Linked DNA regions of Macaca mulatta. The protein of the gene in region 1 interacts with the protein of each later gene in a biochemical or structural test. Links are inferred from orthologs where the notes say so. Each region holds a gene or a part of one and is shown in the gene's direction. Other genes may lie near its edges.

Region 1 (4,158 bases):
TGAGAAGCATACTGGATTCAGCAAAGAAGTCTGCGGTGACCTTGTGGAGAGCAGTTTTAGTGGAACTTTGGGGACAGCACCAGATTGCAGTGGGTTGAGGAGTGAGTGGGAGGGGAGGGGTTGGAGACAGCTGGCAGGGACATTTTTTCAAGCTGTTTGGCCAAGAATGGAGAGAGATAGGATGGTAACTTAATAGAATTGAGAGCTTCTTCTTTTTTTTTTTTTTTTTCTATACTAACGGAGGAGAGGAAGAAAATTCAGGGACAAAAGCAAATAATAAAGCCCAGGGGGAGGAGCAAGATGGAATCCAGTGCACACACTGGATTGTTCTTCAGACAGGAGGGATGCATGTCTATGTTTTAACTGGATGCAAGGAGGAAATGATTAAATTGGCTGGAAGCTTGATTGTTGGGTAGTTCTCGCTTAAGGATACTGTTTCCTCTTGGAAGATAGGCGATGAGTAAGGAGTTCGTTGAATGAATACACGAACATTTTCCCGTAGCTAGTCAAAGTCTAGGGTTACCAGCAGGACAGAAGAAGACACTGCAGGCCGGGTATGGTGGCTCACGCCTGTAATCCCAGTACTTTGGGAGGCCGAGGCGGGCGGATCACGAGGTCAGAAGACCGAGACCATCCTGGCTAACACGGGGAAACCTTGTCCCTACGAAAAATACAAAAAATTAGCCGGGTGTTGTGGCGTGCGCCTGTAATACCAGCTCCTCGGGAGGCTGAGGCAGGAGAATCGCTTGAACCTGGGAGGCAGAGGTTGCTGTGAGCCGAGATCGTGCCACTGCACTCCAGCCTGGGCAACAGAGCGAGACTCCGTCTCAAAAAAAAAAAAAAAAAAAAAGAAGAAGACACTGCATTTGAGGCAAGAGTCCGGTGGGAAGCAGGTTAAGACTGACTGAGAGGAAGTAACCATGGGAGGGCTGCTGGTCCACTGAAAGAGAGAGATTTTTCCAGAACCTCATGCTGGGGCTTTGATTTAGGAATCCCCTTCTTCCTCTAGTCAGTCAGCCTTCCCTGGCCTATGGCTCACGTCTAAAGCCTCGAGCCTCATCGTTCCCACCGAGGACCAGCTGGAAGCCATTTTGATTATGCTCCACCACGAAGGAGGACAATACAGCCCCGCCCAGAGCCAGGCGCGCCCCCGCGGCGGGCCGGGTGCGCGTGTCCGCGCTTCTTCCCGCCGGCCGGGCGGGCGCCTGGCCCAGGACGCGGTGGCGCGGGGCGGGGGGTGGGGGTGGTTATGTAAGCGTTGCGCGCTCCCGCGAGGCGCCAGCCAATGGGAGGCCCCGGCGGCTCGTGCTCGCGCACGCAGGGTGGGGGGAGGGAGCGCACGACGTGCGCGCACCCTCTCCCTCGTCCACCGCTGCCGCCTCCTTCTTCTGCCGCTCCTGGTGCTGCTTGTGTGCTCGTTTGGTGCGGACCTGGTACCTCTTTTGTGAAGCGGCAGCTGAGGAGACTCCGGCGCTCGCCATGGCCGACGAAAAGCCCAAGGTGAGCTCGGCGCCGGCCCCTTCGCCTCGCCGCGCGGTCGGGGTCAGGGCGCGGGCCGGGGTCCGGCCAGAGCTCGCCGCTGGCTCCCAGCGCCTTCCCGGGCCCCCCACAGGGCCGGCCGCAGCTCAGGCCCCGGCGCTCCGCGCCATTTTCCTCCCTCCCTCTCTTCCTCCCTCCCGCGCCGGAGGAGGCCCCGCCGCTCTCTCCCGCCCCCGGCGGCCTCCGAGTGCGCGCGGGGCGCGAGTTGGGCGGGCAGATCGCGGACGCCCGCGGGCCCACCAGCCCCGAACGGGGATTCTTGGCCCAGCCGTCCGGCGCGCGTGAGGAGGGGCGTTAGGGCGCGCGGGGTCTCCACCCTGCGCCGACCCCGCGTCGGGTGTTGCAGTCTCCGAGGCGGCGGGGAGTCCCCTGGGCTCGGGCTTCACCTCTCAGGGGTAGAAACCGCGGGCATCTGGGGACTCCTGCCCGGGGCGGCGGCGGCGGGGCGAGGGTTCGGGGCGAATCAATGGGCTGCTGATGAGCAGGAACCTGGATGCCCGCTGGCCGCCGTACTGGGCCTGGGGGTAGGGGGATTCCCGTGGAGTATTTCCCACTTTAATGGCCTCAGGGACCTGAGGGGGGAGGGGCAGCGGCTTTTCCCTGGGTGCCAACGAACCCCTAATCCGCGAAGACCATGTGGTTTCATGAAGTTGGAGGCACAGGTAGGAGCAGAGAGACTTTGTGCGGCTTAACTTTTGAATGCGGCTTTTGAGGCACCCGAAGACTTCCCGGGAGGACTGGGGGACACCCATCATCGGGGCACACGGGACTTGCTGCTTTTAGTTTGGTGACACCTCCCGCCTCTCGCGCCTTTACTTTCTGAAGCGTTTTAGGGCTACAGCATGCCTTCTACACTCGATTTTGGACAACTTTAGGTTGGGTCGAAATCTACAAGAAACACTTGGGATAAAACTGTGTATTTGACCCATGACAACAAAGGGGAGGGGAGAATAAGTGCTCTTAACCGAAGATAAAAATGAAGCTGCTAATAGAGGAGAACGTAACTGTGGTCCTGAGTATTACCGCTGTTCCGGAGGGAATCGGGATATTCTTCGATTTTTCGTGTGTGTGTTTACTTTAATGGAGATTGGATTTAGGTTATTAAACTGAGTTTGGTAACTTTTTAACGACAACGGTAATGAGTTTTGAATGGCAGGCTGTAGATTTATTGTTTTGTTTCTTGCAGTTGTACTTAAAGTGCTTAGAAAAGAGACTCTTATTTTTAACTTTTTTTGGGGGTAAAATATATATTTTGGGAGTGATATATGCCATTTTAGAAAGTTTAGCTTCAAGAGAACGTTCAATACACTGAATAGGACCCAACTTTAAACATGTATTGTTGTTACTGATAGTATTGCATGTAGGCTTTTCTGTATCTGACAGCTATCTAATACTGTTGCTGCAGGATTTCTCCTCTTTCACATTGATTTCAGCAGCTGAAAACAGCCGTATGCCGTTTTAGCATACCGTATGAGAAACCTGTTGATTTTTGAAGCAACTTAGGGCTGCTGCTGCTTTATAAAAGTGTGTGTTGATCACATTTCCCAAATTATACTTTTATTTTTCTTTTAACAGGAAGGAGTCAAGACTGAGAACAACGATCATATTAATTTGAAGGTGGCGGGGCAGGATGGTTCTGTGGTGCAGTTTAAGATTAAGAGGCATACACCACTTAGTAAACTAATGAAAGCCTATTGTGAACGACAGGTGAGGAATTCATATGTGTACTTCCACTGAATAAAACTATTTTTAAAAATCTTATTTTCATGGGAACAAAAACTAGCCTGGCATAATACTACAGTGACTTTTTGATGGGATGAATATGCACTTGTACTTGGCATGTCAGTTTTATCGTGCACTTGGTAGCTTGCTCATGAAAACCCTTAGGATGATTTGCTTAGTATTATATGTGGTTCCAGTCCTGTGCCAGAAATCCATCAAATTGTATTTACAATACTTGTTTTTTGGTTTTTTTTTTAACCAAGGAAATGTAATTTTATGTTTATAAGAAAGTAAGAGTGAACTTGGTAAAATTACTTAAGAGTCTTTTATTATTTTATTTTATTTTTTTGAGACGGAGTTTCATTCTTGTTGCTCAAGCTGAAGTACAGTGGCGTGAGCTCAGCTCACTGCAACTTCCACTTCCCGGGTTCAAGCAGTTTTCCTGCCTCAGCCTCCTGAGTAGCTGGGATTACAGGTGCCTGCCACCACGCTTGGCCAATTTTTTTTAGTATTTTTGGTAGAGATGGGGTTTCATCATATTGGCTAGGCTTGTCTCAAACTCCTGACCTCAGGTGATCCACCCGCCTCGGTCTTCCAAAGTGCTGGGATTACAAGCATGAGCCACTGCGCCAGACCAAGAAGTCTTTTTTTTTATTTTTTTTTTTGAGATGGGAGTCTTGCCGTATTTTTTTAAGCTAGAACTTATCTACCTTGTAAATCGTGGGGTTTTTTTTGTTTTTTTTTGGTTTTTTTTTGACAGAATCTTGTTCTATTGCCCAGGCTGGAGTGCAGTGGTTCAATCTCTGCTCACTGCAACCTCTGCCTCCTGAGTTGAAGCTATTCTTTTTTTTTTTTTTTTCCCCCCCGAGACGGAGTCTTGCTCTGTCGCCCAGGCTG
Region 2 (3,517 bases), about 75 Mb from region 1:
GAGCATGAGGGCAGAAGGTTGGAAATTGGGGCCTGGATCACTGAGGGTAGAAAGGACAAGACCTAAGAACCCTGGACATTTGTCGCCATTGCCTCCTTGCCCCCACCCTCAGGTGCTGGGCTTCAATACCCGTCAGCGGAAGGCTTTCCTCAATGCCGTGATGCGCTGGGGGATGCCACCACAGGATGCCTTCACCACGCAGTGGCTGGTGCGGGACCTGAGGGGCAAGACTGAGAAGGAGTTTAAGTGAGTGTGGGTGATACAGGGCTGAGTTGGACGCAAGGGTAAGAGCTTTGGGTGTTCCATTCTTCCTTGGGGCCGCCATATGATGTGACCTTACTCAACTGATTGTCACCCTCCCTGCCATACAACGCTTCCTGGCTCGATTTCCTGGGGGGTGGTCTCAGCCCACCCCACCTCCCCTCAGCCGAGCCTAGAGTAGAGGGGCCAGGCATTCTCCCCAGGGGAGAGGTGTTGAAGCAAGGAACCTCTCCTGGGCTGTCCTAGCCTCACATTTACTTGGCCACAATCACCTGGCAGGAGGAGCTGGTGGAAAGGATGAAGAGCTGACTGATGGGGCCCAGGAATTAAGTACCAAGGCCAAGGGGATAGGCCAGGGATGGGGCGCAGGGGCACGGTTAGGACTTGGAGGGCTGGTAATGGTGAGAGTGAGAGGCCCAGGGGAGGAGCCCTGGAGCATCTGGGGATTTGGGGACTTGGGGGTCCTCAGTCATCCTTGCATCTTCCTCACTGCCCTATACCCCTTCTGTGGCTTCCCTAACCGTCCTCCCACCCCATGCTTCTTAGGGCCTATGTATCTTTGTTCATGCGCCATCTGTGTGAGCCTGGGGCAGACGGCTCTGAAACCTTTGCCGATGGGGTCCCTCGGGAGGGACTGAGTCGCCAGCAGGTGTTGACCCGCATTGGAGTCATGTCTCTCGTCAAGAAGAAGGTATCAGTCTTCCTCTCACCCAAAAAATCAAGCTGGCTGCCTAGTCTCTGTCCTTCCTCTGCCTCTGTCCCTGAGTTGTAAGCTCGCGCTGGTGTGAGACGGAGGAGACTGGAGTTTCCTGTCTGTATGTCTGTAAGTGCCTGGAGCTGACACCTGTCCTTCCCACCCCAGGTGCAGGAGTTTGAGCACATCAATGGGCGTTGGTCAATGCCGGAACTGATGCCCGACCCCAGCGCTGACTCTAAGCGCTCCTCCAGAGCCTCCTCTCCTACCAAAACGTCTCCCACCACTCCTGAGGCTTCTGCTACCAACAGTCCCTGCACCTCTAAACCTGGTAATCAGAAATCAGGATGGTGGGAGAGACAGAAAGGGAGCCAGGAGTCGGGGCAAGAGAACCTCTGTCTTTATCACTGTGCCTTCCCCTGCAGCTACTCCAGCTCCAAGTGAGAAAGGAGAAGGCATAAGGACTCCTCTTGAGAAGGAGGAAGCTGAAAACCAGGAGGAGAAGCCAGAGAAGAACAGCAGAATTGGGGAGAAGATGGACACAGAGGTGTGTGGCTCCCTGGATTCCCCTGTGGAGTGGGAGGGGAGGGGGCTTGGAGGCCAGATGCCTGGGAGCCCTCCAGCTCATCCTGACCCCATTGTCCTCTTACAGGTTGATGCCCCCAGCCCAGCCCCATCACTCGGGGAGCGGCTGGAGCCAAGGAAGATTCCTCTAGAGGATGAGGTGCCAGGGGTACCTGGAGAGATGGAGCTTGAACCTGGGTACCGTGGGGACAGAGAGAAGTCAGGTGGGTGCATGGCCTTAGGAGTGATGGGGGATTAGAATTTGGGATGTCCCTCTTCTGGGGTCAGAGGATGAGGGTAACATCCTCCCTTCCTATCCCCTACCCCCTCCCACAGCCACAGAGTCGACGCCAGGAGAAAGGGGGGAGGAGAAGCCGATGGATGGACAGGAACACAGGGAGAGGCCGGAGGGGGAAGCAGGGGATTTGGGCAAGAGAGGTAATGGGTGGAAGGACCGGACACCTGGGTCCCTGAGGGCATCAGGGGAGGTGGAGTCTGGGGAACCAAATGCTTGGGTCCTGGGCGGGTAGCTGTTTGAAAGGCCAGGACAGCACAGTACAGATAGTAGTCTTGGGACCTGGGAGGAGGGTGTCCTGAGGTGTGAGCTTTCACCTGTCTGTCCTAGCAGAAGATGTAAAAGGTGACCGGGAGCTTCGACCAGGGCCTCGAGATGAGCCACGGTCCAATGGGCGACGAGAGGAAAAGACAGAGAAGCCCCGGTTCATGTTCAATATCGCAGATGGTGGCTTCACAGGTTGGGGAGACTCTCGCTGCTTTCTGCTCCTCAAGGGGATCTGCTCATCCTCATGGGGTTTCTCGTTTTGCCTGAGGCTTCCTGCTACCTTTAATTCCAAGTAACTTCCAATGAAGTATGTTGCATGCTGACTCCGATCCTTGCTCTAAATCTTTCTTAAGTATCCCTCTTAACTCCAAAGCTGGCTCTAATCCCACCTTTATTCTTAATTCTAACTCGAACCTGGTTAGTAACGGAGTTTGTTCCGAACTCCTAACCTAACCTTTACCCATTCCTCTTCAGGAGCCCTTAGTTCCCTTTCATTATTCAGTTTCCCCATCTGTACCTGTCTGTTGGACTGAGTGCAGTCTGCAAACCCTTGTTGCTTCTTCTGTCTGCTGCCGCCTTTGCAGAGCTTCACACACTGTGGCAGAATGAGGAACGGGCAGCTATTTCCTCAGGCAAACTCAATGAGATCTGGCACAGAAGACACGACTACTGGCTTCTGGCTGGGATTGTCCTGTATCCTTTGACACACGTGCAAGAAGGAAAAGGTTCTCTCAAGCTGGAAAAAAAAAAAAAAGGATGATGATTTCACACCCAGGGACAGGGCTACTGCCACACTTTGGGGAGTCAGGCCAAAAGGAAGAAGTGTTCAAAGCCAAGCCCATTCCTGTTAAATTCCTTGATGGTTCCCTTTCCTTCATTGGTAGCCATGGCTATGCACGGTGGCAGGACATCCAGAATGATGCTCAATTTGCCATTATCAACGAGCCATTTAAAACTGAAGCCAATAAGGGGAACTTTCTGGAGATGAAAAATAAGTTCCTGGCCCGGAGGTTCAAGGTGGGAATGAGGGAGGACAGGAACGGGTTTTAGACGGGCTTGGGTCAGAAGTGAGGCCAGATCTAGTTGGAACCTAGGGAAGGTTAACACCTTCAGGGCTGAGGTGATGCTTGGAGCCAAGACCAAAGTGTAACCTTGTGCTTGGGAGTGTGGTCTGGGTCAGGGTTGATGCTAGGTTCGCAGTTGGTTTGGAGCTAGGAGTGCTCTGGGCCAGCAGTGAGGGCAGGGTGGGTCTCCTGCTATGTCCAGTCCCCCCACCCGCCACTCACTCACTGCTGGCAGAGCCCTGCCTTCACCTCCCAACCCTGTGCCCTCAGCTCCTGGAGCAGGCGCTGGTGATTGAGGAGCAGCTGCGGCGGGCGGCCTACCTGAACCTGTCGCAGGAGCCGGCGCACCCCGCCATGGCCCTCCACGCCCGC
Region 3 (3,517 bases), on another chromosome or scaffold:
TGTCAAAGACAGAGCATGGGAATGGTGTTCTGTCAGCCCTAAGGTAGGAGATAGGAGGGAGGAGTGAGTCTTGAATTTTGGAGGGAAGTTTGGGCATCTGAATGTGGGGAAGATCTTTTCCCATCTTTGGTGATGTGGTATTTTATATATTTGGATGTATCCTGATTTTAGGTCCCAATGCTCGGAGGAAGCCCAAGGGCAGCCCTCGTGTACCTGATGCCAAGAAGCCTAAACCCAAGAAAGTAGCTCCCCTGAAAATCAAGCTGGGAGGTTTTGGTTCTAAGCGTAAGAGATCCTCGGTGAGAGCCCAGCCCATCACTTTAGGGAGGGTGCCATGTATACTAGAAAGGATGTGACCTTATATCAGGACCTGTCCTTCATAGTAGGCACATAAGAATGTGGGGAGTTACCCACAGAACAGGATGAGACTCGGCTCCCTGTATAACAGTGCTTGCTGAGATTCTGGTATCCTCAGTGAGAGAGCACTCCCTTGTCTGCCACTCTTTCCTTCCCCTTGGCTTGAATGTCTAACCTTATTCTTTTTCATCCTGTCAGAGTGAGGATGATGACTTAGATGTGGAATCTGACTTCGATGATGCCAGTATCAATAGCTATTCTGTTTCTGATGGTTCCACCAGCCGTAGTAGCCGCAGCCGCAAGAAACTCCGAACCACTAAAAAGAAAAAGAAAGGTGTGTTTCTTTTCTGTATATTTGTGATGGGATGAGGTGGGAGTGATTGGGGAAGAATCTCCCTAAGGAGATAGGGGTTGGGGGTGGGGGGAGGTAGTTTTTTTCTAATAACTGGGCTTTCCCTCTTCCTTGCCCAGGCGAGGAGGAGGTGACTGCTGTGGATGGTTATGAGACAGACCACCAGGACTATTGCGAGGTGTGCCAGCAAGGCGGTGAGATCATCCTGTGTGATACCTGTCCCCGAGCTTACCACATGGTTTGCCTGGATCCCGACATGGAGAAGGCTCCTGAGGGCAAGTGGAGCTGCCCACACTGCGTGAGTGTCTGGCCATTGTGGCCCCTTGGAACTCATGAGAAGAAGGGTGGGACAGTAAAGCTCTTTGGGGCCTGGATGGAAATCGAAATGCTGGTGCTGCGGGTTGTGAGCTTTGGGAAGCATTCAAAGGAATGATGGGTACTGGCTTCAGACTTCGGTGGGTGGGTGGGGGTAATAATCTGAATCTGTGGTCGTTTACTGCAGGAGAAGGAAGGCATCCAGTGGGAAGCTAAAGAGGACAATTCGGAGGGTGAGGAGATCCTGGAAGAGGTTGGGGGAGACCTCGAAGAGGAGGATGACCACCATATGGAATTCTGTCGGGTCTGCAAGGATGGTGGGGAGCTGCTCTGCTGCGATACCTGTCCTTCTTCCTACCATATCCACTGCCTGAATCCCCCACTTCCAGAGATCCCCAACGGTGAATGGCTCTGTCCCCGTTGTACGGTGAGTGACTGATCTCAGCCAGGGCAATAGATGTGGAAAGTGTAGTCTTTTCTATGTAGGGTATTGTGAAGCTGGGGTGCGGGAGAGGAACTGTGCGCTTTTCAACCCTGAGAAAGGTGTTTTCCTTTATCCTATAGTGTTGGGATACTTTTGTCCTGGGAAAATGTAGGACTGACTTCAAACAGAGGAGTTGATGTTTTGCCAGCTCTCTGAAGAGGAGATGAAGCAATGTTCTTCTAGCTGAGAACATGTGTCTCTGTGTTGACACCCTGCCTCAGGGTCTTGGTAGCTTACAATGTTTTTAATTTTTTTGTTAAAAAACTTTTTTTTTGGAGACAGGGTCTCACTCTGTCATCCAGGCTAGAGTGCAGTGGTGCAGTCATAGCTCATTGCAACCTCCAACTCTTGAGCTCAAGTGATCCTCCTATCTCAGCCTCTTGCTGAGTAGCTAGGAGTACTGGTGCATGCCACCACATCCAGCTAATTAAAAAAAAAAAATCTGGCCGGGCGCGGTGGCTCAAGCCTGTAATCCCAGCACTTTGGGAGGCCGAGACGGGCGGATCACGAGGTCAGGAGATCGAGACCATCCTGGCTAACACGGTGAAACCCCGTCTCTACTAAAAAATACAAAAAACTAGCCGGGCGAGGTGGCGGGCGCCTGTAGTCCCAGCTACTCGGGAGGCTGAGGCAGGAGAATGGTCTAAACCCGGGAGGCGGAGCTTGCAGTGAGCTGAGATCCGGCCACTGCACCCCAGCCTGGGCGACAGAGCAAGACTCTGTCTCAAAAAAAAAAAAAAAAAAAAAAATCTTTGTAGAGACAGGGTCTCACTATGTTGCCTAGGCTGGTCTTGAACTCCTGCTCTGAAACTATTCTGCTCTCTTGTCCTCCCTAAGTGCTGGCATTACAGGTGTGTACCACCGTGCCAGCCAGTTTAGAATGTTTAATAGGGCCACTTACTGCTTTTAGATTGCTTAAGGGAGGAATTCTGTGCTTTAAGTCTGTTGATTTCCTGATTCTTTTGGCTGCTTGTTGAAGTCTTAACTACTGGCTTTGTTAAGCGGATAGGAGTGATAGTGGCATGGAAATCCTGGATGATGTCCAGAAATGAAGAGAGAATTGTATCACAGGTTAGGATTAGATAGGTATCTAATCCAGAAGTGGGAAATCCAAAATACTTCTGGTCCCAAGCATTTCACATGAGAGGTCCTCAACCTGTATTCTCTCCCTGGAGGAGTCCTGGGATTAGATTTTATTTGAAATGAGATCTTTTTGTTTTTTTGAGACGGAGTCTCTCTCTGTCCTGTCCCTTAGGCTGGAATGCAGTGGGGCAATCTTGGCTCACTACAACCTCTGCCTCCCAGGTTCAAGTGATTCTCCTGCCTCAGCCCTCCGAGTAGCTGGAACTACAGGCGCGTGCCACAATGCCCAGCTAATTTTTGTGTTTTTAGTAGAGACAGGGTTTCACCATGTTAGCCAGGATGGTCTCGATCTCTTGACCTCGTGATCTGCCCGCCTCGGCCTCCCGAAGTGCTGGGATTACAGGCATGAGCCACTGCTCCAGGCCTGAAATGAGATCTTAATCGTCCTTTGATAAAGTTGAGACTGTGGGCTGTCCCTTCTCCCATGGTTACGATTTGAGATTAAGTTGTCTCTTTTTCCCTCAGTGTCCAGCTCTGAAGGGCAAAGTGCAGAAGATCCTAATCTGGAAGTGGGGTCAGCCACCATCTCCCACACCAGTGCCTCGGCCTCCAGATGCTGATCCCAACACGCCCTCCCCAAAGCCCTTGGAGGGGCGGCCAGAGCGGCAGTTCTTTGTGAAATGGCAAGGCATGTCTTACTGGCACTGCTCCTGGGTTTCTGAATTGCAGGTAAGTTGAGGATAGGCTGGAGATGTAGGGGCTACGATGAATAGGATAGTGGTAAAAGAGCCTTGTGGATAGAAAGAATGAACACAGCTTCTTGGTGGCTGATTTTCTCTTTCCGCTCCAAGCTGGAGCTGCACTGTCAGGTGATGTTCCGAAACTATCAGCGGAAGAATGATATGGATGAGCCACCTTCTGGGGAC
Region 4 (3,517 bases), on another chromosome or scaffold:
TGATGCAGTACCTAGCAAATGTTGAGTGCTCAGGAAATGGTGGCCTTTATTATGAAGGAATCACTCCTTTGATACCACAGAGTGAACATGGTGGCTGGGAGGCTGGGAGCGAGAGCTAGGGTATCTGGCCTGGTTCTGAGGGCTGGTCTAAATGCTCCGCTTCTTCTGGCCTCCTCCTCTCTGAGACCCAGGAGTCCCAGTGACCTGCAGCCTTGCTTGGAAATGTATCTGTGAAAGCTCCAAAGCGAAGGCACTGGCCCACAGAGCTGAAATCAGTAGTTGAGAAGCACACAGCAGGGATCAGTCCTTCTTCCTAACTTGGTTACCTGTAGGATCTTCATTTACTCATGACTTTAGAGGCTGCTTTAAGGCTGGGGACCTGGGTGTGGAATGGAAGATACTATTTATCTGTGAGCATTCTTCCACTCTACCCATACTTCTAATAAACAGAGCATAGTTCTGAGCACAGTGGCTCACACCTGTAATCCCAGCACTTTGGGAGGTCAAGGCAGGCAGATCACAAGGTCAGGAGATCGAGACCATCCTGGCTAACATGGTGAAAAATACCAAAAAAAATTAGCTGGGTGTGGTGGCACACTCCTATAATCCCAGCCTCTCGGGAGGCTGAGGCAGGAGAATCGCTTGAACCCAGGAGGCAGGGGGTTGCAGTGAGCCAAGATCGCACCACTGCACTCCAGCCTGGGCGACAGAGCAAGACTCCGTCTCAAAAAAATAAAAATTAAAATAAAATAAACAGAGCATAGAATCAGTTCTTTTCTTTTGCTGCTCATTACTCAGAAAACTCAGGAAAAAACAAAAATACTTCTGTGAAAGTTTGGGGGCATAGGAAAGGTGGGGTATAGAATGGGCAGAATCTAGTCACAATCCCAGAGATGGGCAGAGTTTGACTGTGGGATGGAAATTCAGCTGTGCAGAATTGTGACCCTGGAGTTGAAACTGTCACTGCTCCCCCCTCAGACCAAAGATGTGACCAAGGCCATGGAAGAGAAGAAATTTGATGAAGCCCTGAAGTTGAGAGGCCGGTGAGGAAACGACGGGAAGCTCACTAGCTACAGAAATCAGATGCCTGAAGTCAAAGATCTCCATGACTCCAGGCCCAGAACATAAGCTTCTGCTGCTTCCTTTTCTGATTCTCTCTGCAGCAAGTTCTTGCCCAAGAAAGTTAGTTGTCAGGTGTCTGGAAGGATCAGTTCATCTCAGGGATGTGGTCCCTGGCATCAACCTTTTATAATCTGTTATTTCTATATGTGAGCCCCAGCTAGATGATAAGTTCCTTTAAGCAAGGGACAGTCTCTTGTGCCGAGCACAGTGCCTGGAGAAGAGTACTGAGCGAGTGTTGGATGAACTAGTGGCCCCTTTGCAGACCCTGCCCTGTCCCTGCTCTGCCCCAGTTCTGTCCTCAGAGGTTTGCCCTATGGAACTTCCCTCTGGGAGCAAAACTTCAGACCAGGATCCCCATGGCTGCTGGCTGTGGGGAATGGCCTGAAGACACCTTTCTCTATTTGTACTTCCTACAGGAGCTTCATGAACAACTGGGAGGTATACAAGCTTCTAGCTCATGTCAGACCCCCGGTATCTAAGGTACTGGCAAGTTGACTTGCCCTCTCCCCTTTTGCTTCTCACTCCCCCAGTCTCTCTTCATAAAGTGCTACCACAGTCCATACAACGTAAACCTTGCCAACTTCTCTGCCCCACTCTGATCTTCAGTGCTGGGTCCCTGGCCCTATTATTATGATTTTCTCTTAACCACCCCAGATACCAGCCCCCTTTTTAGTGTATCCTGGATATCTCTAACACAAGACCCATGCCCACTTCAGGACTGGCAAGATAGCATGCAAAGAATGGGAAAGAGAGCTTATGTACTTTTTCTCTGGGAATATCTAGGAATAATCACATCTAAGTGTATCTGAGCCACCTCTTCCATTGGAGTCGTGGTTGTCATTATTGAGTATATTATCAGAATTGTTTGGGTTGCTTATTAAACTTGCAAACTCCTGGGCCCCTCTCTCAGAGGAGATTCATATCTGGGTAGAGGCCAGGAATGTGCAGGTTTAACAGGCTCCCCCAGTGGATTCTGATGCAGGTGATCCAAGGATCACACTTTGGTAAGTGCTGCTCTGGAAGGTCTCTCATTGTATAATGTTGATATCTGAGATGGGGGACAGCAGCTTTGTTTATTGATCTGTGATCAAGAATTTTGCTTCCATAGTATGTGGTAGCAAGTTGTGCTGGCATTCCTTGGGAGAGGGGTGTGTGTTGTCTCAGGCAGATGTCCTGATCCCTGGATGACAAGGGTTCAGAGCTCTGCCTCCTTTACTGACCTCCTCCCTATTCCCACACTGGGTTTCTGTCCTCCTTTTTCCCCTGCTTCCTCCTGTATAGAGTGGTTCGCACACAGTGGCTGTGATGAATGTGGGGGCTCCGGCTGCAGGCATGAATGCTGCTGTTCGCTCCACTGTGAGGATTGGACTTATCCAGGGCAACCGAGTGCTCGTTGTCCATGATGGTTTCGAGGGCCTGGCCAAGGGGCAGGTATGGAGACTAAAAGGAAGAAGGGCACATATTCTAGGACCCAGGAGCAGTCATAGGGAAGATAAGTGTAGCAAGAATGACCTGTCCATTCTCTTGGCTTCCTCTGTTCCTCACTACCTCTCTCTCCTCTCTCAGGGTCCAGGCAGAAGTAGATATTTAATGTTAGGGCAGTAGGAACAGGCAGGAATTACTGGAATGCACCATTGCAAACAACATGTTCTATTTAATTCTCTATCCCAAAGCTCAGCACAGTGCCTGGCATAGGTAGATGCTTAATATTGGTGAATGAGCAGTAAGGGTAGAAGAAGTTCAGTGCATGGGGAAAAGCTAATACCTGGTGTACCTCTTCCAACCAAGGGGGATCCAGGGGTGGGGTTAGAACTCAAGCAGTGGCACCAGTCCCACACAGGCCTCCTAGTGCTTTAGCTTTGAGCAGAGCTCTGTGGCTTTTCCCCACAGATAGAGGAAGCTGGCTGGAGCTATGTTGGGGGCTGGACTGGCCAAGGTGGCTCTAAACTTGGGACTAAAAGGTAAGTAGTACTGCAGAGGCACCTCCTCCCAGTGACCTCTTCAAGTTGCCCTTGGATTTGGGTGTCAATTCATTATGCCAGGGTCTGCTTCAACCACCCTGTTGTCTGGGTCCTCCACCCCCAACTTCACAGTTGCTGCCATGAGGGCAGACATGCCCATCTCAACATCTTTCAGCAGCTCTGGCAATTTAGAACTCCAGTGTGTATCCTTGGATAGGACTGAGAGGGTGGGCTAGGGAGTGGGGCACAGGTCAAGAAATTAAAAATAAAGTGCCTCTAACTCTAGCTTTTCTCTCCCTCAATTTTCCTGTCTCTTCCACAAATTCCCATTCCTGTCCCCCCCATCACTGGTCAACTAGGACTCTACCCAAGAAGAGCTTTGAACAGATCAGTGCCAATATAACTAAGTTTAACATTCAGGGCCTTGTCATCAT

Evidence for each region. The genes of interacting proteins can lie anywhere in the genome.
Region 2: the proteins of SUMO2 (region 1) and CHD3 form a complex in vitro, tested with the Homo sapiens proteins (2 studies listed by BioGRID, with this or other methods). The link is inferred for Macaca mulatta from reciprocal best matches to the Homo sapiens genes SUMO2 and CHD3.
Region 3: the proteins of SUMO2 (region 1) and CHD4 form a complex in vitro, tested with the Homo sapiens proteins (2 studies listed by BioGRID). The link is inferred for Macaca mulatta from reciprocal best matches to the Homo sapiens genes SUMO2 and CHD4.
Region 4: the proteins of SUMO2 (region 1) and PFKM form a complex in vitro, tested with the Homo sapiens proteins (2 studies listed by BioGRID). The link is inferred for Macaca mulatta from reciprocal best matches to the Homo sapiens genes SUMO2 and PFKM.

Annotation. Positions count from the first base shown.
Region 1 is NC_133421.1:84,873,405-84,877,562, reverse strand, and holds the start of SUMO2 (small ubiquitin-related modifier 2), read left to right. Parts: upstream 1-1,350; 5' UTR 1,351-1,479; coding exon 1,480-1,500; intron 1,501-3,114; coding exon 3,115-3,246; intron 3,247-4,158. UniProt on the Homo sapiens protein: Ubiquitin-like protein that can be covalently attached to proteins as a monomer or as a lysine-linked polymer.
Region 2 is NC_133421.1:9,412,982-9,416,498, forward strand, and holds part of CHD3 (chromodomain-helicase-DNA-binding protein 3), read left to right. Parts: intron 1-112; coding exon 113-246; intron 247-378; exon of another isoform or gene 379-517; intron 518-807; coding exon 808-952; intron 953-1,123; coding exon 1,124-1,286; intron 1,287-1,380; coding exon 1,381-1,502; intron 1,503-1,607; coding exon 1,608-1,743; intron 1,744-1,855; coding exon 1,856-1,957; intron 1,958-2,144; coding exon of another isoform or gene 2,145-2,147; coding exon 2,148-2,273; intron 2,274-2,665; coding exon 2,666-2,774; intron 2,775-2,965; coding exon 2,966-3,098; intron 3,099-3,415; coding exon 3,416-3,517.
Region 3 is NC_133416.1:7,550,682-7,554,198, reverse strand, and holds part of CHD4 (chromodomain-helicase-DNA-binding protein 4), read left to right. Parts: intron 1-171; coding exon 172-299; intron 300-555; coding exon 556-691; intron 692-828; coding exon 829-1,007; intron 1,008-1,211; coding exon 1,212-1,451; intron 1,452-3,116; coding exon 3,117-3,320; intron 3,321-3,442; coding exon 3,443-3,517. UniProt on the Homo sapiens protein: ATP-dependent chromatin-remodeling factor that binds and distorts nucleosomal DNA. Acts as a component of the histone deacetylase NuRD complex which participates in the remodeling of chromatin.
Region 4 is NC_133416.1:55,251,461-55,254,977, forward strand, and holds part of PFKM (ATP-dependent 6-phosphofructokinase, muscle type), read left to right. Parts: intron 1-978; coding exon 979-1,043; intron 1,044-1,538; coding exon 1,539-1,602; coding exon of another isoform or gene 1,603-1,608; intron 1,609-2,403; coding exon 2,404-2,553; intron 2,554-3,012; coding exon 3,013-3,083; intron 3,084-3,442; coding exon 3,443-3,517. UniProt on the Homo sapiens protein: Catalyzes the phosphorylation of D-fructose 6-phosphate to fructose 1,6-bisphosphate by ATP, the first committing step of glycolysis.